Linked DNA regions of Drosophila melanogaster. Changing the gene in region 1 together with any one later gene gives a genetic interaction. Each region holds a gene or a part of one and is shown in the gene's direction. Other genes may lie near its edges.

The links.
Region 2: of Spc105R (region 1) and cmet, changing one suppresses a phenotype caused by changing the other (phenotypic suppression), as found in Drosophila melanogaster (one study listed by BioGRID).
Region 3: of Spc105R (region 1) and Klp61F, changing one suppresses a phenotype caused by changing the other (phenotypic suppression), as found in Drosophila melanogaster (one study listed by BioGRID).

Annotation. Positions count from the first base shown.
Region 1 is NT_037436.4:20,794,070-20,805,148, forward strand, and holds the start of Spc105R (Spc105-related), read left to right. Parts: upstream 1-6,340; 5' UTR 6,341-6,409; coding exon 6,410-6,436; exon of another isoform or gene 6,437-6,473; coding exon of another isoform or gene 6,474-6,497; coding exon 6,498-6,601; intron 6,602-6,653; coding exon 6,654-7,399; intron 7,400-7,475; coding exon 7,476-11,079. Other genes in the region: CG3698 (uncharacterized protein), read right to left, coding at 3,260-4,282; tzn (tenzing norgay), read left to right, coding at 4,721-4,919, 5,074-5,921.
Region 2 is NT_033779.5:11,264,199-11,275,277, reverse strand, and holds the start of cmet (CENP-meta), read left to right. Parts: upstream 1-6,275; 5' UTR 6,276-6,431; coding exon 6,432-6,570; intron 6,571-6,645; coding exon 6,646-6,768; intron 6,769-6,825; coding exon 6,826-7,172; intron 7,173-7,225; coding exon 7,226-8,127; intron 8,128-8,231; coding exon 8,232-8,396; intron 8,397-8,720; coding exon 8,721-11,079. Other genes in the region: cana (CENP-ana), read right to left, coding at 1-2,593, 3,745-4,580, 4,634-4,980, 5,038-5,160, 5,236-5,374.
Region 3 is NT_037436.4:1,241,588-1,252,666, reverse strand, and holds the start of Klp61F (Kinesin-like protein at 61F), read left to right. Parts: upstream 1-6,756; 5' UTR 6,757-7,026; coding exon 7,027-7,106; intron 7,107-7,172; coding exon 7,173-7,473; intron 7,474-7,666; coding exon 7,667-8,999; intron 9,000-9,064; coding exon 9,065-10,275; intron 10,276-10,339; coding exon 10,340-10,591; intron 10,592-10,641; exon of another isoform or gene 10,642-10,675; coding exon 10,676-10,699; 3' UTR 10,700-11,079. Other genes in the region: CG9130 (uncharacterized protein), read right to left, coding at 1-500; Bfc (booster for Crq), read right to left, coding at 1,035-1,790; Sac1 phosphatase, read right to left, coding at 2,598-4,376; Psf1 (partner of Sld five 1), read left to right, coding at 4,993-5,601; CG32318 (uncharacterized protein), read left to right, coding at 6,034-6,113, 6,180-6,594. UniProt on the Drosophila melanogaster protein: Important role in mitotic dividing cells. Microtubule motor required for spindle body separation.

The DNA of each region.
Region 1 (11,079 bases):
GATTTCGTCACACTCGCAGTCCCAAAAACCCAGATTTGTCACACCGAACATCATCAGCACTCCCCCCGAACAATACTTCAATACTTCCTATCCCTTCTGTTTTCATCACAGGATCACACAGGTGTCGAGCGTGATGGCGGATTAGGTCCACTTACTCGGGGATTATTTAATTTCATGTGTCCTTGCATTCGAACCAGATTCGAAACAGTTTGTTTAATATGTAGTTAGATCCTTAAAGTGCTTTATTGACATTTGAAAATATATTCAGCTGATTACAATGGCGAGCATATAGCAATTGACCCATATTTGCATTTAAACAACTAATTTTGGGCAAGTTTAAAATTGATTTATTTATGCATATGTACATATGTACATCTTGTTGTTTATCATCCCCTTGTAATAAATCACCTATTTAAAATGTTGCTAAGCAACTCCCCTTTGCCAAGGTGTGCCCTTTAATTGACCGCAGTGAAAGGATTGTAATCCCATCCGCGCTAATTTCATTATCAAATCACGTGTCAGGACTTAGGCAAAACAAACGAAGCATTATACTTCATATACTTTATGTTTTTCCAAAGCCCTGTGAAAACGCGTCTTTTGGTTCCCACACTATCGGGTTTAGCTGAGCCAAGCTGAATTTTTCACTCGCTCGCCTGGTGTCTGTTTCAAAAATATTGCAAGCGCACAAAAGGCATTCAAAAGTACTACAAGTTTGGGCGAAAAATAATAGAAAACTTGGGACTAGGAGTATAAATGTGGGTGTATAAGAAAAAAAAAAGTAAAAAGTGTAAAGAAATATATAGGATTTTCCATTTAAAAATCATATGTAAATGGATGAGTGAAAGCATATTTATCATTATCAAACATTTGATAACATTTACTTGTTCGCCAGTGCTAAATTGCATATTACCCATCTGAAATCTTGCTAATCCACATTTCCTTCAACCACAACTACTTCCTGGCTTTCCTGGCTAATACTTTTTAAGTAGCTCCTCACATTTCATCTGAGTTCCCTTTTTTGCATCATCCAGCATTATAATAACCGTAGATACCCGGAATTTCCAAGCACTTTGCGATAATCTGCGACTATTACTCAATTTTCCATAGCTCCTCTCAAATCGTTGTGCTCACCAGTAACTTCTTGCATAACCATTTGTGGCTGGCCAGCCCATCGTTTTCAATAGTTTTTCAATGGCCTTCCATTGTAGCCCATTGTTTGTCCCGTCGACGCTCAACAAATTGCTTAACTTCTCGCAAAAAGAGACGGGACGCTCCAGGATATTTAGCAAACGTCATCGTCCTGCGGCAGGAGAATGGAAAAACTGCCCGGTTAATCCCAAAATTCCAGATTCAGACCAGAAAATAGAGCAGAAACAGCTTACCATCTGTAATCCCGAAACGGCCAACAATGCGTTTTGCAAGGTGTCACCTTGTCGCTATCCTGTCTGCTCCCATTCACTCGCACGATCTCTTTATCCTGTCGATCACCCAATAATGGGCATTGTGTGGGAGTTTCGTCTGGCGATGCCAAATGATTTTCGCACCTTTAGCTGGAAAATATTTTGAGCATTACGCGCTGCACACAAAAGGTGTTTATAGACACATCGCAAGGCAATCCAATTAATACGATTTGGAAACTAAGCAAACGCAGTGTAATTAATAAAATAAAATATTTGAAACAAAATAATTTCAATTAGCTTAACATTAGTTGGGCTGACCTACACAGCATGTTTTGTAAAGGCTATAAAATAATACAAAAACTTGTTGATACTCATTCAGAATATCTTCAACTTTTAGAAGTCATGTCTTTTTAGGTCGAAAATACTTTGATGTTGTATTTTTGGGGACAGACATCACGAGACACTAAAATAAATCAGAACAAGCAGGAAAACGGTTCACATTTTCCCCGCCACTTAGTAACGCAAATCAATCAGTCGCGACTTTCCTTCGGTAATTTCGAACATATGCTGGGATTTTCGATTCCCGAACAGCCAAACAATTTCCACGGCTAATTGGGCGGCCGAGTTCCATGGGTCCATTTCACTTTCCCATTGAGAACTCGGAAGGCGGTGTAAGACGATCCTTAGTTGGCAACCAGCTAGCTCATTGTTCTCGTCGAGGAAAGCTCGCTGGTGTTTGTTTCCTTTTTCAACGCGACCGCTAAACAACAAAACTACAACTTTTCCACCTAATACTCTTCAGCTATTTGTATACCTGACCAGATTTGAATATGATTATTGATTGCAGTTTACCTTCTGGATAGGAATTCTGTTGAAAGTCGGAAACCCGAGCAGATTGGCAACTGATTTCCATCATTCTACCTGATCTAGATCAGATTTGTTTATTTGCTCTTTCTAAATTTGGTATGCAGAGTTCTTGGGAAATTTTGGCCAAAAATGAATGAAAATTTGAAGAATGAAATCTGATAAAATCAAAGCACCATTGATAAAAAAAAAGACGGCTGTTTCTCACCATTACATAGAGAAAAATTGTCCAACGATATTAATATTTTCACTATATATTATTTATATTCAAGTTCTATATTATTTATGGCTAGCTTTAAATGGGATTTCAAATTCTCTTGTGCATCGTTGTTTTCTAACGACTTTATTAAGCGAAAATTGTAAACTAATTATGCGCTGCCAAACGAAATTCCCGCGGGACACAATTAGTGTGTTTTTTATTTTTTATTTTGGACATATGCTTTCCCCGGCCGCAAAATGAGCAAATAAATCATAAATGTTTCATTCAACGTAATTGAGCCAGAACTTACCCCTAAGTTCTCCTTCTCCGAGGGGCAGGGGTGGGTCACCATGCCTACACTTCTGTGAAACGAGAAAAACAATGTAATCCGAGAAGGTTTTTTGGAATGTGCGTAATATTGTGTGAAGGCTGCGAGGTGGAAAAACTTCTTCAGTTTTAGGGGTTGTAATGGCTCCGCCTACGGGAACAAGTGGAAGTGAAACAAAACGGTCAACGGAACAAAATTGAAATGAAACAGATTCAATGGGGGAATCCTTTTAAATTTATAGTTCATACAAATATTGATTATATACAAATATAAAAAATATGTATTTAATAATATTATTGCCTGATATTATATATTGCATTATATTACATTTGTACAAGCAGTTGTAGTTTTCTATCCTTAATTTAAAATGAGTAGAATTTATATAAAGTCCGTACTTATTTTTAATATAACAAGAAAAGCACTTCGAAAACGAACAATAACAATTTAACAGCGTAAACGAAACGAAACTCAAACCTCTTTGGCCAGCTTATGGACCTGGCGATAGTTGACGTCCACCAATCGTATACTGCCGCCCACCGTGGCCAGCGGTTTCATCAAGTTGTTCAGGGTGGTGGCCACCGGATCGAGGATGTCCCTGGCGGAGCACAGTACATTGTATAGGAAAATCAGTGGTGGCTGCAGGTAGCCGTTGAAGAGCATGGTCAGGAGGGGCTTGAGCAAGTAGTCGGAGGTCATGTGGAGCAGTCCAACGATCAGGGTGTTCACCAGGGAGTAGAGGACAAATCGGTAGCTCTGCAGAATGAAGGCTACCACGAAGGCCACGGCGATGTGCAGCAGTCCGAAGAGCTCCGCCCAGAAGTGGGTGGCATAGGTGGTGGCGCGGTCGGCCAGGACAATAGCATTGATCTTCGGATGCGAGTCCGTGGTGCTCAGATAGTCGGCGCAGCCATGCTCGAAGGGATAGATGCCGATGCAGGTGTGCCGGTTGGCCTCCTTGCGATTCCACTGTGGCTCCGGCAGATCGTCGATGATGGAATTTCGGCTCTGCGGCTGGCACTTGCACATCTTGTCCAGCGACTCCACTAAACGGGCTAGAAAGCCACTCTTCTGCTTCTGCTTCTGCGCCTGCGATGATTTGTGGGACTTTGTGGCACGACCCTTCACTTTCGGCGCAGTTCTCGTTGGGACGAGCACACGGGGACGGCGCTTGGAGTAACGCTGGAACTCGATCCTTTGGGGCTTGCTCTTGCTCAGGCTAAGCTGACTCTTCCCCGGCTCAGCGTGCATCTCGTACAGAGTGTGTGGTGAGCTCCCCGAATCCGTGGACGCGGTCATTTCCCCGTGCGCCACATCCTTGAACATGTTGTACTGCGTCTGACTGTGCTGATATGCGTCGGAATCGCTGGAGGAGTTCAGCCGTGGGAAGATCTTCTTCAGGGGAGACTGCAGCTTGGCCGTCACCCCCACGTGGTTCACCTTGATCAGGTTGGACTTGGAGGTGGCGCAATGGGGATCGGTTGATTCCGACATAGTGACTTTATGTTCTAAACTTATGACGTGCCGCTTCAAAGCCAACTGACGTCTTTTTCGTACATATGATCTGAATTCAAGTTAGGCGTGCCAAAAAGTTAACTTATAAGCTTTTTACCACAGAAGAGAACATATACTCTTTGGCCTAGAGACAAGAATATATAATTTAATATAAAAATGTATTTTTATTATTATTGGCTTATGTCTGTGCTATAAAACTTTTCATTTCCGGTTTGAGCCACCACTACGTTTGCAGGTATGTTTCGGTATATTTCCGGTAGATGGTGTACCCGTCAGTGGTTTCCCTTACCGGCCCCCAAACGGTCACACTCGCCCGAGCATAGCAGATTTGGAGAAAAAAACAACTGTAATTAGGAGCCATAATTAATTCATTTCGAATCGCACACGCTTTTCAGTTTATCTAGCCGAAAGTACAGAATGTTGGCCTCCGCCTGGCGCAGCGTGGCCACCTCCGTGGAGACCCAGTTGACGGCCACCTACTTCCGAGGTTCGTCCAGCAATCCGACACTGCTCCTGCGTTCCTGGCGGACGATTCCTCGAGCGGATGCCCCTGGTTTCGGAGCGATTCGGCGGCGTTTTCTGGCTGTGCCCGTCATCTGTCCAAGTCTCGTCAAGCGTAATCTATCCGTACATACGTGTTTAATCTAATCTCTCCCGGTGCTGCAATTTCATTTCCCAGTATCTACGCTTTTTGTTCGTCCGTAGCTAGTCAGTCTGTTTATCTGTTGGCCATCTATGTAGCTAAATGTGAAACCATCGCTTCGTTTCAGTGCAAAAACTACGAAAAGTCGGCTTCAGAGGCATGCACAGCACATTGGAGGACGTGCAGCTGGAGGGCATGGAGATCAAGATCCTGCCGGCCCTGCAGGATAACTATATGTATCTGATTGTAGACACGAAGACGCGCGAGGCGGCCGTGGTGGATCCCGTGGAGCCGGAGCTGGTCATTAAGACGGTGCAGGAGCAGCAGCTGACCCTCAGCAAGGTGCTGACCACGCACCATCACTGGGACCACGCCGGTGGCAATGAAAAGCTGCTCAAGCTGTGGGAGAAGGAGCTGGACGTGTATGGCGGCGATGACCGCATCGGGGCATTGAACAAAAAGGTTCAGCAGGACGACACCTTCACCATTGGTGGTCTGCATGTCAAGTGCTTGTCCACGCCGTGCCACACTACCGGCCACATCTGCTACCACATCACCGCGCAGCAGGGCAGCGGCGAGGGAGCCGTCTTCACCGGCGACACCCTCTTCCAGGGCGGATGCGGCCGCTTCTTCGAGGGCACTCCCGAGGAAATGTACGAGGCGCTGTGCACAAAGCTCTCCGCCTTGCCGGACGCCACAAAGGTGTTCTGTGGCCACGAGTACACGCTGCAGAACATGAGCTTCGCCCGTCACGTCGAGCCCGACAACGAGGTCATCCAGCAGAGGATCGAGTGGGCCAAGCACCGGCGCGCCTCCCAGGATCCCACTGTGCCCTCCACCATTGGCGAGGAGAAGTCCTGGAACCCCTTTATGCGCGTTCACGAAGCCACCGTGCAGAAGCACGCTGGCGGAGCCACCGATCCCGTCGTCACCATGGGCAAGCTGCGCAAGGAAAAGGACACCTTCAAAGCCTGATCTATTTCCTCGAAAGTTTCGAAACTTGTGATTTAATATTGGATTTTAATGGTTAATAAAATTAACGATGTGTGTGAAGTGCGGACAATGGATTTTTAATTATTCGCAATTTATCGGATTAAAACTTTTTTTGTTTTATTCAAATTATGACATAAATTTATTTCTTCAGCTTTATTTAAAAGAATTTATTTTTGGTATTTTGGTCTAGCAACACCCTAGAGAAGAGGGTACTGGTTGATTCCAACTTTATTCATAGAGCAATGAACTTAACAAATTTTTTAAATCCAAAGATTTTAGCAAATTTCGTAAAATTTGAATCACAACGGTTTTGGTTAGGCGTTAGTGCCTTTTGGGCATATCAAAAATACTTTTGGTATTTCTAGCGATCTATCGCCAACGATCTGGCAACACCGTCTGCCATTAACACAAAAATCGCGGCGTCTCTCCAATGGGATTTTGAAATAAAAACAAGTTAACAGCACGGCGCGATGAACGCAAACAAACGCAGAAGTTCGGTGGGTTCTTCGAAAATTAATTGATTGAGAAGCGCTCATGGTAGACCTACTCTTCTTGCAGCTGCGTAAGGTGCCGACCAAGGAAGATGAGGCGACCACAACAACGTCCGCGATCAAACAACAAATCAAGCGACGCATCAGTTTCAGTGGCAAGAAGTCCGTGAGGTACGTACAGTAGATATATGCGATGTACAACGCTCACCCGCCCTCCACATAGGGAATTCGTAAACACCAAGGAGACCAACAACTGGGACGACTCGTACGAGGTGTCGGAACACCATGCTGAGGACAGCTCGGGATCGAAGTGCTGCAGCACAGGATCAGCATCAGTAGCGAGGGTTTCCGAACATGCCGACAAGGAGAACATTCCCCTGCCCAGCCACTGCGAGCGGGAACATGTCGATCTGTCCGTGAATCTGCAGGCCAGCGTGGATTTCACCCTGCTGCCCTGCGAAATGATGGACAAATCGAGGAAGACATCCTCAATCTCTGCTGTGTCCTTTTGCATGACCTCCGAGGAGCGAAAACTGTTGCAAAGCAGTCTCAGCGACCGCCAGCTGGTAGACAAGACCATGGATCTGATATCCGGATCTCTCGTCAACCGCCACCAAATCGCGTCGAGCGTTTGTGAGGAATCCTCCATCAAAGTGGCAACAAACAAACTGGAGAAGGTGGTATTCACGCCAGCTGTCAAGGCTGTGAGTGACTCCTTCATGGACATCACGCCATTGGGATTTACTGATCCCAATCCTGCTGCTCCCGCTCCAGCTCCAGTTGCAACTCTATATCCTCCAACTCAACAAAGTTTAATGGAGCTCGAAGAGGACAGCATTGTAAGGGAGATGCGTGAGTCCACCAAAAACCAGACAAAAACTCCGGCGCAGAAATCGCTTTTCATGGACGTGGGGGAGACCAAGAATAAAACCCAACAGGGAGCTGGAGGTGCATCCTTCTCATTAAATGGTTAGTATTATCTCAGTTAAATCCCTTCCCAATAGTTTCTAATTAGCAAGTTTTCGGTTGTCACATTATTTTGCAGTTTCCAATAACCGAGATCGTTCGCCATCGAACTCCTTTGAGAGCCTTAATAGCACCATGAACTTTACGAGAGATGAGTCGATGCTGATACCATTCGACATGATTTCGGGGAAAAACATAAGCAAGAAACTCAATTTTCGTCAACTCAACGAAGACCTGGAGACGGGTAAGATCCAGATATTTCCGAACGGGCCAAAAACGCCGACCACGGATCGTAAGGCCAAGAAAAATCGGTTTTGGTGCGGCCTTGAAGAGGAGAGCGCGGGAGATAATAGTCCAAAGAAAGATATAAGAAGCATAGTGCCACGAGGAATGTTAAATTTCAGTGAGAACATGACCTTGACGCCGACGAAAACAAGTCCAGTTGGAAAGAACAAGGAGAAACTAAAGGCGGCGGATGAGAAGCAGAAGTATCGACTATCCCAGGCGGATGAGATGATGCTTGACAATACAAACTTCTTGGCCCACGCCAGACTAGGCGACGAAACGCAGTCGAGAAATACGTCGAAGAACTCGACAAGAAGGGAGACAACTTGCGAAACCTCGGAACTGAATTTGGAATATCCTACGTTAAGTCAGGACTTTCAACCCATTCCGAGTTCCAAGACTCGTAAAACTGATTTTATGGCTGAAGAAATGCAGCTCAGTCAGACAAATTACCCTGCTATTCCTGCATTGAAAACTGCTACCTCGCGTCGCACCTTACATCTCAATGAATCTATGGATCATGAAACAACGAAATCCACGTACGTTAGGAAGGAGATATCGGTTACCACGCAGGAGACTATCTACGAAAAATCCACAACCAACGAGCAGAACAGCAACCAAAATCGCAACACATGGGCCTGCACTAAAACCAAGCGCAGGGCGACGCTTTTGATGCAGGAAAGCATGGAGGAGGACATCATTAGCCCTCTCAAAAACTTACAATTAAAGCCCAATGCGGCTCCTATGAATACAGGGCAATCCAAAGTGAACCATACGCTGTATCTAGCAGAACCACTGGAGGAAGTGGACATAAACCAAAGTAATATGTTACCAACTAAAAATGTTGCCCCTAGAGAACAACTTAAAGCGAGGAAAACGCTGCTATTAGAGGAACCTATGGAAGAGGAAATGAGCAGTAACATTGGTTACAATTCCAAAAGAAAGACTCTCCACTTAGCGGAACCTCTGGTGGTGGAGGGAGAGGATTTCATTTTGGAAAAGCACATACCAATAAAAGTAGTCGCGCATCAAGAAAACAAATCCAAGGGTAGACAAACTCTTTTGTTCGAGGAGCCCGTGGAGGAGGAAATATTTCACAATGCGAAAGATTTACCGGAATGTGCTTTAAAGGGAAACAAGACTGGACCTCAGAAATACAGTCAATTAAACCAGGGGAAGAGTTTCACTTCGCAAAGCAGATCCAAAGCTAGGCAAACCCTCCTGATCGAAGAACCCATGGAGGAGGACACGGAATTTAACAATAAATATAATATTGCCAAACCTGGAGAGAACCACATAAGAAAGATCGCTAAATCCAGACAAACTCTCCTTTTGTCAGAACCTTTAGAGGAGGAAATGTGTCTTCCACCGCCAAAGAATAAGTCAATAGTGTCGCAAAAAACAATAGATAAATCAACCGAGCAGCAGCGATCAAAATCGAGGCACACGCTATTATTATCCGAACCTATTGAAGAAGAACATATTCAGCAGGACTTGCCAGCTGAAAAGGAGGATAGTTTAGCTAGACAGCAAAGATTCAAGCCAAGGCAAACGCTCATCATGGCAGAGCCCATCGAAGAAGATGTTGGAGAAACGGAACGTAGGGTGCAAACTAACATCACTGGTTCGTCAACTTCCAGACCAAGACACACTCTTTTGATGTCCGAACCGATTGAAGAAGAACTAACTAACGAAGATAAAAGTACGAATGCCAGCACAAATAGAACGTTAAGATCGAGGCGAACCATTTTGATGGCGGAACCGATAGAGGAAGAGGGCAATAAGTCTATCGCTGAAAAAATAGGTCAATTTACTAAAGAATCTTCTGAAGAAGCGGTATTTCAAACTTCCAAATCTCGTCAAACTCTGCTGATGGCAGAGCCTATAGAGGAAGATGTTTTCAATCAGTCAAATGATCAGCCAAAGCCACTTCCTATATCTAAGGATAAAATCACTAGGAAGACCTCTAGACGACACACGCTTATTACTGCCGAACCCATTGAAGAGGATTTGAGTGTTCGTAAGCCGCTGGAAAATTCAAAGGAGTCATCTTTGACCGCCAGAATTATTCAGTCATTCGCCGAGCCCATTGAAAATGCCCTATTTTCAATTACTGATCAAATAGCTAAACAGCAATTTTCCGAATCGGTTCAAACTCCTCCCAAGGAACCCCTAAACTATCTCCACCAGAAGCCGCGGAATACCCTCATCTCGCATGAAACTATTCAGGAGGATTTAGAACCCGTAAATGAAAACTCATCAGTGGGGCCTCTGAGGTCCAGGTACAGAAAGACCCTTATCATGGCAGAGCCCATTGAAGAAGATGTTAATAACCACAATATGACCAAACAAAATGGGATCTGTGACTCTTTAAATGTTCCACAGTCCGGTGGATATATGGCTGCCAAAACAAGACAATCCGTGCATATACCGGTACCCATTGAGGAGGATCATATTCCGGGCCAACAGCAAAGAGAATCCGAACCTGCGGTGAAGGGCAGAACTACGCTGCTGACTGAGTCCATAGAAGAAGATGTACCCGCGCAACACACTCGAATTTCTAAAAATAAATCAATGGGCTCGAAGGTTTCGGCGGAGCCTATCATCGAGGATTTGGATTCCAACAGACCAGAAATTTCACAATCCGTGGAAGAGACTTTACCCCAAAGAAGCCAGGTTCCTGATGTTCCGTCATCCAGAAGACATACGCTACTTTTATCGGAACCCATGGAAGAGGATGAGGGGATATTCGGACATAACTACCCCATAAGGACCAAGCACCAAATTTCCGAAAAGCTAGAAAAACCAGAAGGACCCATTCATTCATCTAAAAATTCCGTAGAAAACGAAGAGATAGGCACTCCTCCCAGTGCCAAGACTCAGCAATCCATTGCTATGTCCGAATCAATGGACTTTCAAAGCCCGCAGTTTAGGCCGAGGGGTCCGGACTTTAATGCAATCACGCCGGGAATGTCCTTGACTGAATTTGTGGATCAGGAAGAGATGTGCAAGACCCCGATTCACAAAAGAGTTCTCCTGACTTCCCATCGGAAAAAATTGTCCATGTACCAACCAGTGCCGATAGACCTTGAGGCGAATGCCTCCGGCTTTGGAACTCCAAAAAATCTCGTCCAACTAAAGCGCCTACCCACGCATCTCACGCCCAACCTTCCGGAGTCCAAGAAACGAAACACGCATCTGTTTCCGAATAGCAACATGGACATCGAATTGGAGGAGGATCAGGAAGGTTCTTGGGGGACAAAAAGTATTCAGATGCACACAGGGACAAGTAAATCACGCAGGACCTACACGGTAGACCAGTTGGACGCGTCGGTGCAGCCAGTAAGGGACTACAATCCTGTAGTGACTGAGATGAACAAACAGGGTGGTCTTAATAT
Region 2 (11,079 bases), on another chromosome or scaffold:
TTTCTCGCCCCTCAACAGCTCCAAATCCTGAACATATTGATCGCACTTCTTTTGCAGGTCATCGATGTTCTCGTTCGACGAGCCTGGCAGCAAATCCGAACTTTTCTGGTCGGCAGTGCATTGCAGTTGTTCTAGCTCCAACATGCTTTTGTCGTACAGCTTCTTAAGTTGGCATTTTTCCATTTTCACTCCCTCGAGTTCCACTTCCCGATCAGAATTCGTTTTATGCAGCTCTGCTATTGTGTTTCGCATCACCTCAAGCCTAGAAATTTCCTTATCGCGCTCCTCCTCCGCTTGCCTTAGTTTCTCCTTGTAAGAAGATTCCTTCTCCTTCAGCGTTTCCCTGATTTTTTCAAGCTCTGCCTTGTGTCGGACAGCCAATTCGTTTCTTTCCTTCTCGGCCTGAGTAATCTTTTCTTGAAGAGATCTTTTAATGACATCCAAATGCACCTGACACTGAGTCGTAACACTGGCGAGCTTTTCATTGGTCTGCTGTAGCTGCTCTTCGTAGCGTTTCTGGGTTTCCTTTAAATCCAGGCAGTATGCACGGAATTTGGAGCGGTTTTCATTCTCGCTCGTCTCAATTTTCGCCATGTACTCAAGCTGAAGGCTTTTGTTCTCATCTGTCTTTCGCTTCTCCAGAATACTTAATTCCTCTTGTGCCCTTTGTAATGATTCTTCAAGTTGCTCGATTCGGCGTTCATATTCGGTGGTAAGAGTTCGTTCAGTTTGTTCCTGGATAGGCTTCTCAACATTTAGAGATTCTTCAGCTGTGGTACTATGGTGCTGCAGTTCGACACCGCTTTCTTGAAGCTGATCTAGAGGGCGCAACTCCTCCGCCTGCCAATTTACAATGTCTGCTAGCTTCAGTTCCATGGATAAGCAACACTCGCTTATTTCTCCAATATCCGACTGCAGTTCGGATATTTTTTCGTCCTCTGACTGCTTTTCAAGTTTTTTCTGCAGTTCACACACCTTGGACTTCAGATGTGCAAGGGATGTCTTGAGAGTAAGGACTTCCTGAGATTCCTGCTTGTTAGCGGTCTGTACGGTATCTTTAGTCTGCAACTCCTCGCACAATATTTTTGTCTTGGCATTTTGATTTTTTATAGTTTCGATTTGATTCAGGCTGGTAATTTGTGCACGCAAATTGTTAATAACTTCTTTCTCTTCCTCAATTAGATTCTTTTTCCCGTCAACTTCTTGTTTCAGTTGGAAAATGATATCACGCATTCGGTCTTCCTCTTTCACCAAATTCTGTTCCTGATTTATTTTGACAATCTGAAATCTTTGGCATTTCAGAAAGCCTTTAAGGAATACGGAGTCGGATGCATCATGTTGTTTACCATCACCCTCTAAATACTTAGCAGGCTCAAGGCAAAGTTTTAGGCTTGGCACGCTTTGATCCTGTTCGGCATGGTTATATATAAAGAGGCGCCTGCCACCGGAGTAGTCGGTGAGCTCAATCTGTTGGATGGACTTCGACAGCTTGGTGAACTGTTGCAGCAGATCAGTGTCCAATTCGTTTTCCGGATCACTGCACTCAGTGCCTACACCCGAACTCTTCATGGATTCCAAATCGGAGTTCGTTGTTCGTTGCTTGTGCTCCTCTCGGAGTGCATCGCACTCTTGAATAGTACTCATCAATTCGTTGGATAGACATTCGTAATTCAGTTGGATCTCGTCAAACTCCCACTGCAACTTGGAGAGGCGCTTCTTCAGCTCTTGATTTTGTAGCTCCATATCTTCTGGATGAGTATCCGGATTGGGAACTTCTAATAGCTCACTATGGATCTCCTCCACTCGCTCCTTGAGAGTTCCAATCTCGGCTTGCAGTTTAGAATTTTCATCCTGCAGCTGCTGACACTGTTCATCCGATCTGAGTTCCAGATGCCTATACTCGTCCTGCAGCTGTAGGTACTTTTGCTGTATAGTATTGTAGTCAACCTGCATGGTATCAATGGCCAGCTTTTGACTAGACCACTTATGCTTCAGGTTGTTGTACTTTTCCTGCAATTGTCCAAAGTCATCATGCGCTGTGGATATCTGTTCGGAGAGCCGTTTGCAATCAGTGGTCTTTTGTGATACCTCACAGCTTGCATGGCTGAAAGTAGACAGCATACTTTCCAACTTCATACGGGTGGCAGCAATCTCCGATCGCAACTGATCAAACTGGCAGGCGACTGAGTCCAGTCCTGAGGCACTCGCTAGGGGCAGTAGCCGTTCCAACTCCAGGCACTTGTTGCAGATCCGCTCGCAGCTGGACTCAAGCTCGGGGCACATGGATCGCATTTGATCCTCCTTGCTGTTTCGCAACACATCCCGAGATAGCTCCTCAAGGGACTGTTGCAGACTTACTATGGTCGAATCTTTTTCGGAGATGGAGGAGAGAAGTTCTTCCTCCATTTGCTTCGACTTGGCCTTGTGTGTTTCGAATTGCTCCCCTAGATTGACTGCCTTGCCGTTCTCCATCTCCAGCCGCTCAATTGTCTCCTTTAGCCTCTTCACCTGCTCCTCGTACTTCTCGATCGTCTCCTTTGCTACCTGGTTGGATGCAGTAAGCGCAGAGATCTCGGTCTGCGGGGCATCGCAGCTGTAATTGATAGGAAAATTGAGGGATTTGAATGAATACGTAAATTCAGGAACTCCATAAATATACTTTAACTCTATTTATATTTCCAGTGCGCGCATGGCTACGAAAAGCTATTTACTCTGCCTAGCTAAATGGGTGCTGTCTGAGGGAATCCGGCGTTCACAAAAAACCACTAAAAATAGAAGCAGCTGGCGGCATTCAAGTTGAAGTTGCACCAGGCGAGATGTGTGGGTTACGCGAACATGGTCAAAGAAATAGAAGCGTTTTTAAAGATTCAAATCTAAACACCTTTCACAAATTGTTTATTTTCGCAAACGAAACAGAAGTGCAACTGCACTGTGCTATTATTTTGAGCGCAGATCTTTTACCCAAGTCACTCACTCACTCACTCACTTTTTCGGTTTCGGTTAGCCAATCTATATGCGTTACATCACAGTCTATAACGTTGGTGGATCGACAGTAGGGCCGACGTCATCGATCACCCAAGACGATCGGGGGAGGAGCGCGAGAGCGATGGGCGGAGGAAAAGCGTGCTGACTGACGGACAGCGGCAAATACAATGAGCATTGCGGAATTCCAGCGATCAAATTATCAAGAAGTTGGCCAGTTAACTACCTTGTCGATCGGCTGACTGCCTTATCGCGCTTCCAGGGCCACAAAGCGATCGTAGCTGGGGCGTCACATCGCATCCAGCCGAGTCTATTCGCAAAACTGGCTCACAACAGGCGTCGCCTCGCCTCTTTCCGCTCCCGGATTCTCCCCCAGAAATCTTTCCTTCTCGACGGCTATTTGCGTTGGCGTTTGTTTTGTTTTCGATTTCTTCGCGATCGGACTCCCAGTTGAGACAGCTTGCCCTCTTCGCTGCGACTGCTGCGAGAAAGCAAGAAGAGCGAGCGAAGACCGCACGAGAAGACAGCCGAGTAGAAGAGCACGCCGCACTCGTCTCCACCTCGTTTTTAGTTCAGGTGTCAGGTGAGTGCGCGCAAGAGGTGAGTTGGTATGTTCAAAATGCGCAAAATTGCTTACTTAAAGTACTTTTCAAAACGATATAGTCGCGTAGAATACTATGTAGTTTCGTTTGTTTAACTCATTTGAATCTTTTTATAACTCTAGATCTAAAAGTAAAATAAATAATTCATAAATTTACTTACTTCGGCACCGACTCCTGATACTTTTTTGACATCATTACTGAAGGAATTCTGCTAGCTGTCTCTCTTCCCAACTGTTTCGCCCGGCCAGGCATAGTGTCCATATTATCCGTTTGTAACCTTTTCTCCTTTAGGGTTTTACAAATGCCTTTGGCTTTGGGAGCAATCCCCCGCCGCTGAAACAAGGGTTTCGGCAGGTTAGTCAGCTTCGAAGGACGCGGTAGACGGGACTCCTCTGGCTCAGGCAATGCGAGAACAGGAGCGTCGCCTTCTGAGCCTGAGGCGGTTAAAGTCCAAGTACGACGACGCTTCTGGAGGCGATAGTCGTCAAGCGAGGCGCTGGAAACGATCTTCAACATGTCGCGCTTGATGCGACCTTCCAATTCCTGCAATACCAGCTGGCTCTCATTCTTGATCTTCTTCTTAGCAAGCTTATCCTTCAACATACTGATCCCGCGATCAAGTTGCCTCATCATCGTGGTTTCAGAGTCTATCTTGCAGACCTGCGGCTTGCAACGAATTTTTTTGGCACACGTGCCGAAGCTTATAGTGGATGACGACTCCTCCACGAACGATGGCGTAATTGTACAGATGATAGAGGTCAAAACATTTCCACCCAGCGAAGGCAGCATGATGCGCGGAAGTTTCGAATCGCGAAAGCTATTCGGCTTGCTATCTACACTCTCGGAGAGGCTCTTAACCAAGTTGCGAAAAATCATAAGGCTGGATGCGTGGTCCGCGGGGTCCACCTGTTCGGATCCAGCCAGATCCACCAGGCTCAGTACGCTCTGCTTTACGGTGTCGTTATCACTGTGGTCCGACTTTCGGGACTCAATGATCTGTAGAAATAATCTTGCATATTATATGATTAATACAAGAATCTAGCACTCACTATCCTGAAGATGGCGTGCGAACGACTGGACCGCTCGTTCATGTTGGTCTCGCCCACGACGCGCTCCTTGTTGCCCATGTAGAGCTGGCGCAGGAGGTCGTCCTCGCTGGTTACGATGGACTCCTTGCAGTTCACATTCACAATCCCATTGCCGGACTCATGGATCTTGAGGTCCTGATTCTTCTTGTTCAGCAGATCGTAGATCTTCTCGTTGTAGATCTCGATGTAGCCCACGCGCAGCAGAAAGTCCCGCTCCGTCTCACTGGAGATCTGTTGAAAGATCTCCTTGGCGGCTAGCACCATGACGCCCGGATTCTGTTCGTCGCCCATCATGGTGTACGTCTTGCCTGAAATGCATGCCCGGTTTTAGGTATACCGCCGCGTATATATAGCACAGTACCCACCCGACGACGTCTGGCCGTAGGCAAAAATAGTTCCGTTGGAGCCCTGCATGCAGGCGTGCACTATGTGCTTGGCCATCCGGTCGAACACCTCCTGGTTGCTGGCGCCCTCGTCGAACACATAGTCTGCCAAACGGAATGGAATGTAAATGAGATAAAGGTCTTGTAGATCAGGATACGCTCAACGCTCTAACCACTCACCGAAGACATAGGGCTCCGCATGGCTGTCCGCCAACTGGATGGAGCGGCCCTCCTTCACCTGCCAGAGTGAAGTGAGCCCGGGCTCGCAGGGACGCACCTTGATGCAGACCTGGATGGAGCTGGCGTTCTTCGTAGACATCTTTGCGACTTGTGGGAAACGTGTTTGACATGCACAATGAACAGACACAAACAGATTTTAACGTTTTATAAAAGCTAGTTTGATCGACATGTTAGTTTCTCTTTGTAAATTCGAACAAATACCGCTTCGGAAGCGAACCAGATCGAAATACGGAACCAGTAAATAGGCGCGAGCCAGTTCAATTTAAAAGTTTGAGGAGCTTTCGGCGAATATGAAAATATAATCCAATAGGCTTCGAACATAAAACTTTTTCCGAGCTTTTTCGTGATATATAATATAGATTATTATTATCTATATTTCCAAAATAGTAAAGACCGCTAAATTAAATGCTTACTTACAGACAGACAAAAGCTGAGGGGATTGTTTAATGCATACAGAAGAATACTGTCTGATATAAACATGAGATTTCATTGGAATAATAATCCCAGTTGTTCACTATTAAAAAAAATAGGAAAATTGAAAATTTGGAAAATATTATAGTGGTTATATTAGGGAGCTTAGTTATAATTTATTTCAAATATTTGTTTTGGAATCAAATACTTTCCACATTATATGTGTGCTATGAATAGAAGTTATGAATTAGTAGAAAAAATACGAACTTATATGAAATTTAAACCGTAGTTTTCGCATGTATTTAAGAGCTTGTTCTATTTTCTGTTTGACCTTAAAGTATTGAGTCATAGAACTTTGTTAGTTAGCATGCCCTACCAATAAGAACACAACGTCTTAGAATATATATATGCCGTAGCGACCCTTGATCAGGAATGTTAATGCAGCCCTGTGGGATAAGAACATAATGTGTTTCTGTTTTTATTTTTGCAGCCCTATTTGGAACTATGATAACAATCGATGAACCGATTTATCTATCGAGTCGTTAGCGCCACTCGAAGATATCGAAGCATATACATCCCTGATTTTGCAAAGCGGCATTTGTTCGAATTTAACGAGCAACAAAGATGTCGATCAATGTTTGTTTACTGTAAAACATTGAATTTTATGTTTGTTTATGAACTGCGTTCTGTTTATCATAAAGCATTGAGACCAAGAAGGCGCCAAGATGTCTGCGAAGAACGCCAGCTCCATCCAGGTCTGCATCAAGGTGCGTCCCTGCGAGCCCGGGCTCACTTCACTCTGGCAGGTGAAGGAGCGCCGCTCCATCCACTTGGCGGACAGCCATGCGGAGCCCTATGTCTTCGGTGAGTGGTTAGAGCGTTGAGCGTATCCTGATCCACAAGACCTTTATCTCATTTACATTCCATTCCGTTTGGCAGACTATGTGTTCGACGAGGGCGCCAGCAACCAGGAGGTGTTCGACCGGATGGCCAAGCACATAGTGCACGCCTGCATGCAGGGCTTCAACGGAACTATTTTTGCCTACGGCCAGACGTCGTCGGGTGGGTACTGTGCTATATATACGCGGCGGTATACCTAAAACCGGGCATGCATTTCAGGCAAGACGTACACCATGATGGGCGACGAACAGAATCCGGGCGTCATGGTGCTAGCCGCCAAGGAGATCTTTCAACAGATCTCCAGTGAGACGGAGCGGGACTTTCTGCTGCGCGTGGGCTACATCGAGATCTACAACGAGAAGATCTACGATCTGCTGAACAAGAAGAATCAGGACCTCAAGATCCATGAGTCCGGAAATGGGATTGTGAATGTGAACTGCGAGGAGTGCATCATAACCAGCGAGGTTGACCTCCTGCGCCTGCTATGCTTGGGCAATAAGGAGCGCACCGTGGGCGAGACGAACATGAACGAGCGGTCCAGCCGTTCGCATGCCATATTTAAGATAGTAAGTGCAGCCTGCTATTTTCTTTCCGATAATCTGCAACATGTATCCCACAGATCATCGAGTCCCGAAAGTCGGACCACAGCGATGACGACGCAGTGATTCAAAGCGTGTTGAACCTGGTGGATCTGGCTGGGTCAGAGCGGGCGGACCAAACGGGTGCTCGAGGAGCGCGCCTCAAAGAGGGCGGTCATATAAACAAGAGCTTACTTTTTCTCAGTAACGTTATCAAAAGTCTGTCGGAAAACGCGGACAATAGATTTACCAACTACCGCGATTCCAAGCTGACGCGCATTCTGCAGGCTTCTTTGGGCGGCAATGCATTCACATCCATCATTTGCACAATCAAACCATCGATCATGGAAGAGTCGCAGTCTACCCTTAGTTTCGCCACGCGAGCCAAGAAAATTCGCATTAAGCCCCAAGTCAACGAGATGGTATCTGACGCCACAATGATGAAGCGGCTGGAGCGAGAAATAAAGGTGCTTAAGGATAAGCTGGCCGAAGAAGAGCGCAAAAACGAGAACCAGCAAAAGGTAGAGCATCTGGAGAGACAAATAAAACACGACATGCACAAGATAATCTGTGGTCACTCCCTGAGCGACAAGGGTCAGCAGAAGCGTCGCCGTACTTGGTGTCCCACTGCATCGGGATCGCATTTGGAGCTAGCAGAGACCGGCACAACTGAAGATCGAATTGACCAATTTCCAAAGGTCTCACACCTTCCAAAACCAGTGTTTTTTCACACTTCAAATGCAGGCAAACGATGGGACAACATTCCAAAGACCATAAACATTTTGGGTTCCCTGGATATCGGTACCGAGAGCAACTCCATTAGTGAGGAATTTCTCCCGGCAGAATGCATTGATTTTGGCTCCCCTCGCCCAGATGTCCTCAAACCCATGTTGACCATCAGGCAACTGCCAGACCTGCCCCTCACTCCCAAGGGTCCCTTAACGTAAGTACTTCTGCAAGCTTTTTGATCATCCTCCATAACATTCATCACATAACAATCGCATCCACATACCCCGACCCGATCCCTGCACTTATTTGCCTGCACAGAACGGATAAAATCAAGAAGGAAATCCAGGACCTGCAAATGTTCACCAGCTTAGAGAAGCATTTTGAGGTGGAGTGCGAAGAGGTGCAGGGTTTAAAAGAAAAGCTGGCCGAGGTTACAGCACAGCGGGATAATTTAGAGCAAGAATCGTTAGCCGAAAAGGAGCGGTGAGTTAATGAGGTGTTTTCTGTCAAGGAATCTGTCGTCCAAAACATAGTGCCTGCATCGTAAAAAACGATGTAAACGTAACTCGACTTTTGTGCTTTAAGCAGTCAACCCAAAATCTAACATACCTATTCATACAAATCTGTAAAACTAGTGCAGCGATATTCTATTCCATTCTATAAAAACAAAACACTTAAGTATATGTTTCAGTTTTTAACAGTAAATTTTGTTTATAGAACACCACTCCACAATACCTGTTTGTTTGATTTATTTTATTATAGTTTTAGTGTTTAACAATAGTTTACTACTTGTGTATCTTCTTATAGTTATGATGCTCTGGAAAAGGAAGTAACCAGCCTAAGAGCGGATAATGAGGCTGCGAATTCAAAAATCAGCGAATTGGAAGAGAAACTGAGTACTCTAAAGCAGACTATGAGAATAATGGAAGTGGAAAATCAGGTGGCCGTGGGCCTCGAGTTTGAGTTTGAGGCTCACAAGAAATCATCGAAACTTCGCGTGGATGACTTACTCTCTGCCCTTTTAGAAAAGGAGTCGACTATAGAGAGTCTTCAAAAGTCCCTCGACAATTTAACCCGCGATGTCTTACGGAACAGCAAGGAGGGCCACATGCTTTCCATTGCCCCAGAGCAGGAAGACATCGCCGGCGACAGTATATGCAACAAGTGTGAGGAACTGGAGAAGCTGATTGCAGATTTAGAGTCCAAGAAAAATTCATGCGAGTGTGATCAGCTCCGGTTGGAAATCGTCTCTGTTCGCGACAAGTTAGAGAGCGTTGAATCTGCCTTTAACCTGGCAAGCTCGGAGATTATCCAAAAGGCGACTGATTGCGAGCGACTTTCGAAAGAGCTATCCACATCCCAGAATGCCTTTGGACAACTTCAGGAAAGGTACGACGCTCTGGACCAACAGTGGCAAGCTCAACAAGCGGGCATCACAACCCTACATGAAAAGCACGAGCACGTGCAGGAGAAATACCAGAAATTGCAGGAGGAGTATGAGCAGTTAGAAAGCAGGGCAAGAAGTGCCTCCAGCGCTGAGTTTCAACGGCTTCAAAATGACAACACGAAGTTTCAAGCCGATATCGCATCCCTCAATGAACGATTGGAGGAGGCCCAAAACATGCTTACGGAAGTCCAAAACTCTGAATCTACTGTGGAAAAGCTTCGAATACAAAATCACGAACTTACAGCGAAAATCAAAGAACTGGAGACGAACTTTGAAGAGATGCAGCGGGAATACGATTGCCTTTCCAATCAACTGATGGAGAGTGTCCAGGAGAACGATGCCCTGCGAGAGGAGATAAAGCAACGACCCACGAGTCACGTTGAGGAGTCTATGAGGAGTTCCGGTATAAGCTCCGATTTTGACGAACAGAAGCAGGATATAAACCTTCTACACCAGTTTGTTCAGCTTTCTGAGTCCGTCCAACAGATAGAGCTGCAGCATCATTCCGGCATCAGTCGCCTCTTTAGAGCCAACCAAATGAAACTGGATCAGAGCGAGCCAGGACTTAAGCTTTGCCTTGAGTCTGCTGAGTACATCGAGGAAGACAATCGTCAATCCGATGCAACTGAACCTATTTGTCTCAAAGGCTTTCTCAAGCGACACAGATTTCAGATAAAGCGACTTAGCCAGGAACATGTAGATATGGGAGAGGAGAAGCGATTGCTTGATATTATTTCGCAGCTGGAACAGGAAATCGAAGAGAAGAGTGCACTTATGGAGGCAACAGAGGCAACCATCAATGAAATGCGAGAGCAGATGACTAACCTAGAGTCGGCACTCCTCGAAAAGAGCGTTATAATTAACAAGGTTGAGGACTACCAGCGGCAGATCGAGTCCCTGGAAAAACAAAATGCGGAGATGACAATGGTATACGAGGAGCTGCAGGATAGAGTAACAAGGGAGAGCTCGATGAGCGAGAGTCTGCTCCGAGTTCCACCTGACGAGGATACCCTTCCAGGATGCCCTACATCTCCCAGTAGACGAGAACAGGAGGTGGCCACGCTAAAGACATCCATAACAGAATTGCAGTCACAAGTTTCTGATCTAAAAGCAGAACTTGAAAACCATTTAAGGCAGATCCAGTTGAAAGACGGGAACATAGCGAGACTACAGACGGATTTTGAGGAAATGAGTGAGCGCTGCTTATCGATGGAGGTGAGGCTAGCCGAGTTGGATGAGGACACTAAGCAAAAACAAGAACTACTGGATCGTCAGGCGCAGAAGCTCTCCGATGACCTATGCCTTATCGATCAGCTTCAAAAGAAAAACGCGCAGCTCGTTGAACAGTATCATAAAGCGACAGAATCTCTCAGTCTTGCGGATGCAAAGCCGGATCAGATACTACTTTCCTCCCAATATGATAGTCAGATCGAGAAACTTAATCAATTGCTAAATGCAGCCAAAGATGAGCTACACGATGTGCGAAGGATAAAAGATGATGAGATAAGTGCTTTGCGAATGGAGTTCCTGCTCCAAATTGAAACGAATGAGAAAGAGAACCAAGCCAAGTTCTACGCTGAATTGCAGGAGACTAAGGATCGCTATGAGAGCAATGTGGCCGAGTTAAAGGAGAAGCTATTGCAGGTAGAGGAGACACTCTCCAGCGTTACGGTTCGTTGTCAGGCGGAGTTGGAAGCGCTTAAATCTGCTCATAAAGAA
Region 3 (11,079 bases), about 20 Mb from region 1:
AGGAGGCCCTTGCTGGTGGGACCCTTCATCTTGGGCAGCTGGGCGATGTGCCCCAGCATGGCGTCTTCCCAGTCAGGATTCTCGATGTCAAAGGACTCCTTCACCCTGTCGAAGATGGGCTTCACCTTTAGCTCCGACAGTCCTATCAGGAACTTGCAGCTCTCCGTGCGCTTCTTATAGACATGCACCTGCAGCACATCCTTGTCCGTAATGGGGGAGTCCAGAGTGAAGAGGGCGCACTTGCCGCACTTGGGCGAACAGGGGTTAACACACGTGCCCACCTCCCGATCGCAGAGATTCACGTAAACCGACGAGCGGAACGTGATCTCTGTGCAGGTTGGATACTCCTCCGGAGCGCAAAGATTCTGGCGTGTGATCAGCAGATCGTCCACTACGAACTCGAACATGTAGAGGAAGTTTCCTGCAATCTTGGGAGGTTTCTCTGGCTTCTCAGACTTATCGGATTTCTCAGTTTTCTCAGTTTTATCAGACTTGTCCATTTTCAAAGGAAATAATTTTGGCTAGGCTTTTGTTTTGTCGAAACTAGAAATTTATATGCCCGAACACTCGCACTTCCAAAAATTTTGTGAGTAAATTTGAATTTAGATTCTGATTTTGAATGGCCGTCCAGACGGGGAGACTGTGGTGTTCGAACTGCTAAACCGACTGGATTTGCGAGGGCTACTGGAATCGGATGAATTTTGAAAACTTGATTCCTTGATTTTCGATATTAAGATTGTCTTTTAGGCAGATGAGTCTGTCTGTATGTAGATTTTATTACGCCTAAAATGCCTAGTAAGGTCTTATTTCTAACATATATATAAATTTTAATATTAAATTATATTATAATGGACAATAGCCTCCTCAAGTCACTGAAACACCAGAATTGGTATAAAAATTATTCAAATACTTTATTTATAGTTAAGATATGCGAATGATTATCAGTTGCTAGGCGCATCCCTTGTCAAACAATAAAAATGCTTATGGCAACTAAATGAGTACGGAATATAAAGGCTCGCAGCTGCATTTCCTACTCATGTCTTCTTGGCTGGCACGGTCTTGCAAGGATCGCAGGGATCGAATGGCGACGAACAGGGAGCAGGCCAAGTGGGCGGGCAAGGACAGCAACAGTTGCAGGGATCCTTGCACACTGGTCTCTGGACGGGGAAGGAGGATACCACAGAGGGCCCATTGCACACCAGTCTCAGGATCAGCACTATATTGCCCGTCTGCATTTTGCAGAGGTTGAAGAGCGGCAGCATCCGCTTGGTCAGCTCTGAGGTGGGACACCACTGTTCGCGCCGCTCCCTATTCCTCTCGTAGCACACACAGTCATTGGCCTTCTTGCAGGGGCCCCTCAGCTTGGGCATTCGCGACAAATGGGACTCGACGTTACTCTCCCAGTTTATGTTCTGTGAATAGAACTCCTTCTTCACCCTATCGAAGATCGGCTTCATCGGCAGCTCGGTCAGCCCGAGCAGGAACTTGCAGCTCTCCGTGCGCTTCTTGTAAACGTGAATGTGCATCACGTCCTCGTCCGTGATCGGCGATTCCAGCGTGAAGAGGGTGCACTTGCCGCACTTGGGCGAACAGGGGTTGACACAGCTTCCGTTCTCCCGATCGCGGATGTTCAGGAAAACCGAACGGAACGTGATCTCCGTGCAAGTGGGATACTCCTCCGGAGCGCAGAGGTTGGGACGAGTGATCAGCAGATCGTCCACCATGAACTCCAACATATACAGGAAGTTATCAGCAAGATTAGAGCGTTTCTCCGACTTGTCCATTCTCATATAAAAGCTTAAAAACTAGAAATTTGACAAAATTACTATACCAAAGAATTTGTTATGTGTTGAAAACGTTTTTAGAAATTTTCAGTCACTGAAACCTAATTTTGACGAAAAATAAATATGTTGAATTTTGAATTCAGATTTTGACGACGTGCCGAAAAGGAAAGACTGATTTTCGAAATGGATCTATGCGACTGAATGTAAAAGGCCTGCCTACGATTCAAAATATATAAATAAAAAGCTAAGAGCTCTGCATTCCTACTAAAATATCAACAATGACATTCTTTATATGATTAACACCCTCTGGGTAACCTGTACTCTTAACCTTTACTGGCCATCTTTTATGGTTGTCATAAACGCCATATACCCATATCATTAATTACATTTCACCTCCACAAGTAGATAGAAAGACGCCGGTCTGAGGTTTTCTAGCAATGCGTAAAATACTTTATTTAATGTCATTAAATGGTTCTACAAAAGTGATTGATCTACATTGCAGTTAATCGCAGTTAATAAGCGGCGCCTTCACAACTCCACTTCTTCCCGATCGAAACCCCAATCATTCCCCTTTTCCAGCCGCCTGAAGCTCGCCTAAGTGTAAGTGATCTGTGTATATAATGACTAACAAGTTGCAGAAGGGAATGGACTGGGGGGGGCTTTAAGACTAAACAAAAACAGAATAAAACAAAACAGAAATTGAGAGGAAGTCGAATCGATTACAGAATTGGTTTACAATTGTTCTTTCTCGGAGCAATGGGACAGTTTAGCTGCAGAGGTAGTTCCCAGTGACTCTGCTAGACGACACTAACGTCATGGGTCTCGAAAGGAGATGGGCGGAAAAAGCCGCGGCCACTGCACGAACTCGACGCCGTAGTGCAGGATGCCCGTGGCACTGACAGCGATCATTGCGCCCCAGAAGAGCATGAACAGCAGGTTCTCCGTGTTAAACTCGGCCGGATAGGTCATCGTGATCATGAACATGGCCACAGCCACAAGCAGCACCGAGGGGAAGGTGAAGAACCGCCAGCCATGCTTCGACTCCAGCGGCGATGGCACGGCACCGCCCTCGTTGTCGTTGACCAGATACTTTCCAAGGAAAAGATCGATGCTGTCTTGCCGCTGGCCATCGGCGAAGTTGTTCAGATAGTAGCGCATCAGCGAGTTCTTGCCGTCCTGCATGGCACCAGACTTGGTCCTCTTGCCCGTCCTGGTGAAGTCGGTCTTGAGCGCACACGTTCCGGAATATTGTAGCGACACCAGATCCGCGTTGTCCGCCCACACGCCCTTGAAAATGCTCTCGAAAATGTCGGAGGCATGTTCCACTTTCTGGCCCACATGAAGCACTCCCAGCTTCTGGAGCACCGCAGTGAGGGACCTGCGGGCCAGCATGCTCTGCACGACGTTCGTCCTATCGAGACAGTCGATACAATTCGTTCGGAAGACACCAGTCTGCGTGGACACCAATTTGCCGTCGTCGAAGACATGATAGACACCGAACTGATCCTGCTCATGGGCGAGGCGATCGATGAGTATGTTCAGCCGGTCCCAGCGCATCTTACGGCACTCGCTGTGGAAGTCGAAAGACTCGTATCGCACTTGTGGATTTCCCATTTCTCGAACCAGGCGGGCATAGGTCGCCTCGAGCTCGCCTTCGGCACCTTTGTGATCCACTAGATTCACAGCCACATTGTTGCCATACAGCCGGATCTGTTCCTTAAAGTGGAGCCCGCAGGCGGCCAAATGATCCTTGCCCGGCACCAGAACGGGTCGTGGCTTATAGCGCAAATTGGGCAGCTGGTGCCAGTGGAAGGGCATGCTGCCTCGTGTCTGCACGAATCCAGTCAGCTGCCCGTTGAACTCCACTATTTGCTCGGTCTCTACGAAGTTCGCAACATGGCCCTGCTCGTCGCTGCCTCGGCAGAAGAGCCGTGTGCCCGCCCGCTGCACGGAACGCCTGGTGATGATGCTCCAGAAGAATGTCTGCCCGTTGATCTGCACCTGGTTGATAGACACGAAGCCCAGGACGAGTGGCAGCTGGAACTTCTCCATCTTATCGCAGTTGAACTGCCGCAGCACATAGCCATTCCAAACGAATCGCTGCTCAGCGCGCTGGAGCAACCCGGATACTTCAGGCCGCGATTGTGCCACCTCCCGCTGTCGCTGCAGCGAATTGGTAAGGTCGTAGCGGTAGGAGAAGTAAAAGAACTTGGTGTCAAGTGTCTGGCGTAGCAGTCGCAAGTAGTTTTCGTTCTCCTTGCGCTGGAAGGAATTCGGAATGTAAGGTATGATGTCATAGCCCGCTAATCTCCACACAACTGCGCCATTGAGCACGCCCACGAAGAGGCGGTGGGTCGCCACCAGAAGGTAGTCGCAGCTCAGTAGGTGAATGGTTCCCAGCACACCACAAATCCTCCTGGTGGGGCGAAGGTTGGCCACAAGACCTCCGCTCGCTGGCTGAACCCTGGTGACTTTGTCGTGGCGCCCGATGACCAGCAACTCATCTCCTCCATTCGGCTCGATGATGAAGCTCTGCGGTGCGATGTACAGGTTCATGTCATCGTACACGGCGTTCTCCTCCCTGCTGTCCATGATTTCCGGGGGCGGTGGCTGGCCCACTTCGAAGACTAAGGGTTAAAAATGGGATAAGGGTTAATAGCTATAGCCAGTGCTGCTTCCTCTTTCTCTGCTCACTTCCTGTAATCGGGGATTCACTGTCGCTATCACCGCTGTCACACACGCACAGCACCAAAATCAGCCACACAATCAGGAGGTTACTCGTTCTTTATTGATTTAACACACAAATTGCAGTTCATCTGATTTTTGGGCCAACTCTTTGCCACTACGTGTGTGATAGGGATGGACCAGTTGGCTAAATAGCCGAATAGCGAATAGCTAATATATTCGATACTTTAAGATGTTCACACCCACTTACTTGCATGTGGTACTCCACTCCCGCAGTTGCACCAATCTAACCAGGATGGCATTTCCTCTTAGGACGGCATAATTTGGGCCTCGTAAGCTAAATTTTGATAAATCACCGTTTCAAATCTATTTTAAAGGAACATGGCTACTGAGGATGAAATTTTTGTTATTTTTTGAAATATACCAAAAGAAATACCAAGTATCGATACCACAAGTCGACGAACATTTTGGCGCGAATCCATCACTAGATCCCCAAACCAAAGAAAAACAGAGAGGATCAACAATGAGCCGACAAACAAAAATGTTCGGCGAGAAAGCCTTCGACCTGCTAAAAGAACTGGAGAGATCGTCGCAGACAATTCCCGCCTTCGACGACGATGGGGTGCGCCAGGTGCTGGAGGAGATCAAGGCGATATTCGAGGAGAACGTGGCCCAGGCCTCCAGCTACAATGCTTCCGGGGATCGCAGTCTGTGGCCCCTGCTCAACTTCAGGCACGCAGCTCTCCAGAGGAACAAGAGGTGCCTGCTGGCCTACCTATACGAGCGGTGCAGGAGGATCAAGGCCCTCAGGTGGGAGTTTGGACCCATTATCCCCGGGGACATCAAGCAGGCACTCTGCGAACCGGAGGTCACCTTCTTCAACAACTACTCCAAGTCCCTGGCTGCCTACATGTGCAGTGCGGGCTACAACCAGGGCTTGCCCATTGATCTAACCAACAATCTGCGTCCGCCCAAGTCACTTTACATCGAGGTGCGCTGCATGGAGGACTATGGGAAGTTCGAGCTGGACGACGGCGAGGTGATCCACCTGAAGAAGAACAGCCAGCACTATCTGCCCCGAGCTCAGGTGGAGTCTCTCGTGAGGCAGGGCATTCTTCACCACATAGCCTAGTCGGGATTATTTGATAATAAGAGTTTACTATACATATTTAATGGTTTAATGTAGAACAAATAAAAGATAAAAAATTATTTAATTCAAATAATTTGAACATTCTGTAGTTTTCCAATACTTGTATTTTTCGATGTTGGTATTTTCAGGGTGCCGTGTTGCGGTCACACTATTTGCGCATTATTTTAAAATTGAACGGACAACTGAAGACGCTGCTTCTCTCTGTTCTCATTGGAAATAGTGCGAAAATTGGTTTTCCACGCCAGCCTTCTGTAAATAGTAGTTACAGTTATCAGCATTCGGCTCGGTGGAAGGTGAAGCACAAGGATTTCCAGGAATCAAACACACACACACACGCATACCGATACACGCGACAGGCGTCATTTTTTGGACTGTACGCGCTAAAACCACAATTAATTGTTTCAATTGATCAATATGGACATATCTGGTGGGAATACGTCGCGCCAGCCCCAAAAGAAGTCCAACCAAAACATCCAGGTGTATGTGCGCGTCAGGTGAGTTTGTATATGTAACCAAAACCCCTTAAAAAGATCTACATATATCTTCTATATCTTTTGTAGACCCCTTAATTCTCGGGAACGTTGCATCCGCTCGGCCGAAGTCGTGGATGTGGTCGGACCACGGGAAGTGGTCACCCGCCACACGCTGGACTCCAAGCTCACCAAGAAGTTCACCTTTGACCGCAGTTTTGGCCCCGAGTCCAAGCAGTGCGATGTCTACTCCGTCGTGGTGTCTCCGCTGATCGAGGAGGTCCTCAATGGCTATAACTGCACGGTGTTTGCTTATGGCCAGACGGGCAACAATCTGCGTCCGCCCAAGTCACTTTACATCGAGGTGCGCTGCATGGAGGACTATGGGAAGTTCGAGCTGGACGACGGCGAGGTGATCCACCTGAAGAAGAACAGCCAGCACTATCTGCCCCGAGCTCAGGTGGAGTCTCTCGTGAGGCAGGGCATTCTTCACCACATAGCCTAGTCGGGATTATTTGATAATAAGAGTTTACTATACATATTTAATGGTTTAATGTAGAACAAATAAAAGATAAAAAATTATTTAATTCAAATAATTTGAACATTCTGTAGTTTTCCAATACTTGTATTTTTCGATGTTGGTATTTTCAGGGTGCCGTGTTGCGGTCACACTATTTGCGCATTATTTTAAAATTGAACGGACAACTGAAGACGCTGCTTCTCTCTGTTCTCATTGGAAATAGTGCGAAAATTGGTTTTCCACGCCAGCCTTCTGTAAATAGTAGTTACAGTTATCAGCATTCGGCTCGGTGGAAGGTGAAGCACAAGGATTTCCAGGAATCAAACACACACACACACGCATACCGATACACGCGACAGGCGTCATTTTTTGGACTGTACGCGCTAAAACCACAATTAATTGTTTCAATTGATCAATATGGACATATCTGGTGGGAATACGTCGCGCCAGCCCCAAAAGAAGTCCAACCAAAACATCCAGGTGTATGTGCGCGTCAGGTGAGTTTGTATATGTAACCAAAACCCCTTAAAAAGATCTACATATATCTTCTATATCTTTTGTAGACCCCTTAATTCTCGGGAACGTTGCATCCGCTCGGCCGAAGTCGTGGATGTGGTCGGACCACGGGAAGTGGTCACCCGCCACACGCTGGACTCCAAGCTCACCAAGAAGTTCACCTTTGACCGCAGTTTTGGCCCCGAGTCCAAGCAGTGCGATGTCTACTCCGTCGTGGTGTCTCCGCTGATCGAGGAGGTCCTCAATGGCTATAACTGCACGGTGTTTGCTTATGGCCAGACGGGCACAGGGAAGACCCACACCATGGTGGGCAACGAGACTGCCGAACTGAAATCCTCCTGGGAAGATGTGAGTGAACAAAAATTCAAATCAAAACCATATCAACCATATCAGCGTAGGGCCCTACATTCTCACTTTCGCAGTTTAACCAAACAAAAAAGGTCTTTGCCATTCTTAGCCATCTGGCTCAAGGCCATCGAAACCAGTTTTTCTTTTCTAAGAATCGCTAATCTAACCTTTTCCAATTTGTCTTCCCGCTTAGGACTCTGACATTGGCATCATACCGCGCGCTCTGAGTCACCTTTTCGATGAGCTGCGCATGATGGAGGTGGAGTACACTATGCGCATTTCCTACTTGGAACTGTACAATGAGGAGCTGTGCGATCTACTGTCCACCGATGACACCACCAAGATACGCATTTTCGATGACAGCACCAAGAAGGGATCGGTGATTATCCAGGGCCTGGAGGAGATACCAGTGCACAGCAAGGATGATGTGTACAAGCTGCTGGAGAAGGGAAAGGAGCGTCGCAAAACAGCCACTACGCTGATGAATGCACAGTCCTCACGCTCCCACACTGTATTTTCTATAGTTGTGCACATCAGGGAGAATGGCATCGAAGGAGAGGACATGCTGAAAATCGGTAAACTGAATCTGGTGGATCTGGCGGGCAGTGAAAATGTTTCCAAGGCTGGGAATGAAAAGGGAATACGTGTGCGGGAAACAGTAAACATCAATCAGAGCCTCTTGACTCTCGGTAGAGTAATTACCGCTTTGGTCGATCGCGCTCCTCACGTTCCATATCGTGAATCAAAGCTGACTAGACTGCTGCAAGAATCTCTGGGTGGCAGGACCAAGACCTCCATCATAGCCACCATATCGCCGGGCCACAAGGACATCGAGGAGACCCTGAGCACTTTAGAGTACGCTCATCGCGCCAAGAACATTCAAAACAAGCCCGAAGTCAATCAGAAGCTGACCAAAAAGACTGTGCTCAAGGAATACACCGAAGAAATCGACAAGCTTAAAAGAGATCTTATGGCGGCCAGGGACAAGAATGGCATCTATTTGGCCGAGGAAACCTACGGGGAGATAACTTTGAAGTTAGAATCCCAGAACCGCGAGCTTAACGAGAAAATGCTGCTGCTCAAGGCTTTGAAGGACGAACTCCAGAACAAGGAGAAGATCTTCAGTGAGGTGAGCATGAGTCTTGTGGAGAAAACGCAGGAGCTGAAAAAGACCGAGGAGAACCTACTGAACACGAAGGGTACTTTGCTCCTGACCAAGAAAGTGCTGACCAAGACCAAGCGACGATACAAGGAAAAAAAGGAGTTGGTGGCCTCGCATATGAAAACGGAGCAGGTTTTGACCACACAGGCTCAGGAGATCCTAGCCGCTGCTGATCTGGCCACTGATGATACTCATCAGCTGCACGGAACCATCGAAAGAAGGCGTGAGTTGGATGAGAAGATTCGCCGATCTTGCGATCAGTTCAAAGATCGTATGCAGGATAATTTGGAAATGATCGGTGGCAGCCTGAACTTGTATCAGGATCAGCAGGCAGCCCTCAAGGAGCAGCTAAGCCAGGAAATGGGTAAGCTATCTACAGAAATCAATTTGTATATTATTGTACATAAGTAAAATTTTATAAATCTCCAGTAAACTCGAGCTATGTGAGCCAACGCCTTGCACTAAATTCCAGCAAAAGCATCGAAATGCTTAAGGAGATGTGTGCCCAATCGCTACAGGATCAGACCAACCTCCATAATAAGTTAATAGGAGAAGTCATGAAGATCAGCGATCAGCACTCTCAGGCATTTGTCGCCAAGCTGATGGAGCAGATGCAGCAGCAACAGCTTTTGATGAGCAAAGAAATTCAGACTAACCTGCAGGTGATCGAGGAAAACAACCAGCGGCACAAAGCCATGCTGGACTCTATGCAGGAAAAGTTCGCCACCATAATTGACAGCAGCTTACAGTCTGTGGAAGAACATGCGAAGCAAATGCACAAGAAGTTGGAGCAGCTCGGGGCAATGAGTTTGCCAGATGCGGAGGAACTGCAGAATCTTCAAGAGGAGTTGGCGAATGAACGAGCTCTGGCGCAGCAGGAGGATGCTCTCCTTGAGTCCATGATGATGCAGATGGAACAGATCAAGAACTTGCGGTCCAAAAATAGCATCAGCATGTCCGTACATCTTAATAAGATGGAGGAGAGTCGACTGACGAGAAATCATCGCATCGATGATATTAAGTCTGGTATCCAAGACTACCAAAAGTTGGGCATAGAAGCTTCCCAATCCGCACAAGCGGAGCTCACCAGCCAAATGGAGGCGGGAATGCTTTGTCTGGACCAAGGCGTTGCCAACTGTTCGATGCTTCAGGTGCACATGAAGAATCTCAACCAGAAATACGAAAAGGAAACAAATGAGAATGTTGGTTCCGTTCGAGTGCACCACAATCAGGTGGAAATTATTTGCCAAGAGAGCAAGCAGCAGCTTGAGGCGGTGCAGGAGAAAACCGAAGTTAACTTGGAACAGATGGTGGATGCAAGGCAGCAGCTTATCACCGAGGACAGACAGCGATTCATAGGCCATGCCACTGTAGCCACTGATCTTGTCCAAGAGTCGAACCGGCAGTTCTCGGAGCATGCTGAACACCAACGGCAGCAGCTGCAAATTTGCGAGCAAGAGCTTGTACGCTTCCAACAGTCGGAGTTGAAAACGTACGCCCCAACTGGGACCACGCCCTCCAAAAGGGATTTCGTTTATCCGCGCACCCTCGTGGCCACGTCGCCACATCAGGAAATTGTGAGGCGCTATCGCCAAGAGCTGGACTGGTCAGATCTGGACACCACGGCCACTATAGATGAGGTAACCTAAAATCCTTCAACCTTGTATGTTGAAAAGCACCAACTTTTATGTTTCCAATCCGTAGTGCAGCGAGGGTGAGCATGACGTCTCCATGCATTCCGTCCAGGAGCTGTCCGAAACTGAAACCATAATGAACTCCACGCCCATTGAGCCCGTGGATGGTGTCACCGTGAAGCGTGGGTGCGGCACCACCCGCAATTCCAATTCGAACGCCCTAAAGCCACCCGTAGCTACTGGTGGAAAACGCAGCAGCTCGTTGTCACGTTCCCTGACACCCAGTAAAACGTCACCTCGAGGTTCTCCCGCCTTCGTCAGGGTAAGTCAAGTGCAAGTCCGCTAATGACTTAACAAATAAAGGGTGGGGATATATTATCATTGCTTTTATTTTCAATATTTTTAGCACAACAAAGAAAACGTAGCCTGATTGCATTCGATGACAGTAGTAGTCTCCCCTTCCCAGTAACCCGTTTATGTTAGTGGATTTCGGATCGCTGTGTTTGTTTGGCTCTTCTGGATATTCATTTTATCTGTATATCAATCTTTGGAATTTCGTACATTTATTATTTAAATAAACTCAGTATGCTATGTAAAGTTAAGGAAATCTTTAGTTCAAGTGCAGGTTTAAGATATATCAGAAGGTATTCTTAAACTTCGATACTATTTTTTAGGGAAGAAGTGAATTTGGTTTTTTAATGATGTCATGCCTTCCAAGGAAGCGCTTTATAATTAATATAATCTTAACTATTTTACTTATCATATTCTCGTTTGTGAATTTAAATTTGTTGAAGTTTTTTTTCATAAAAC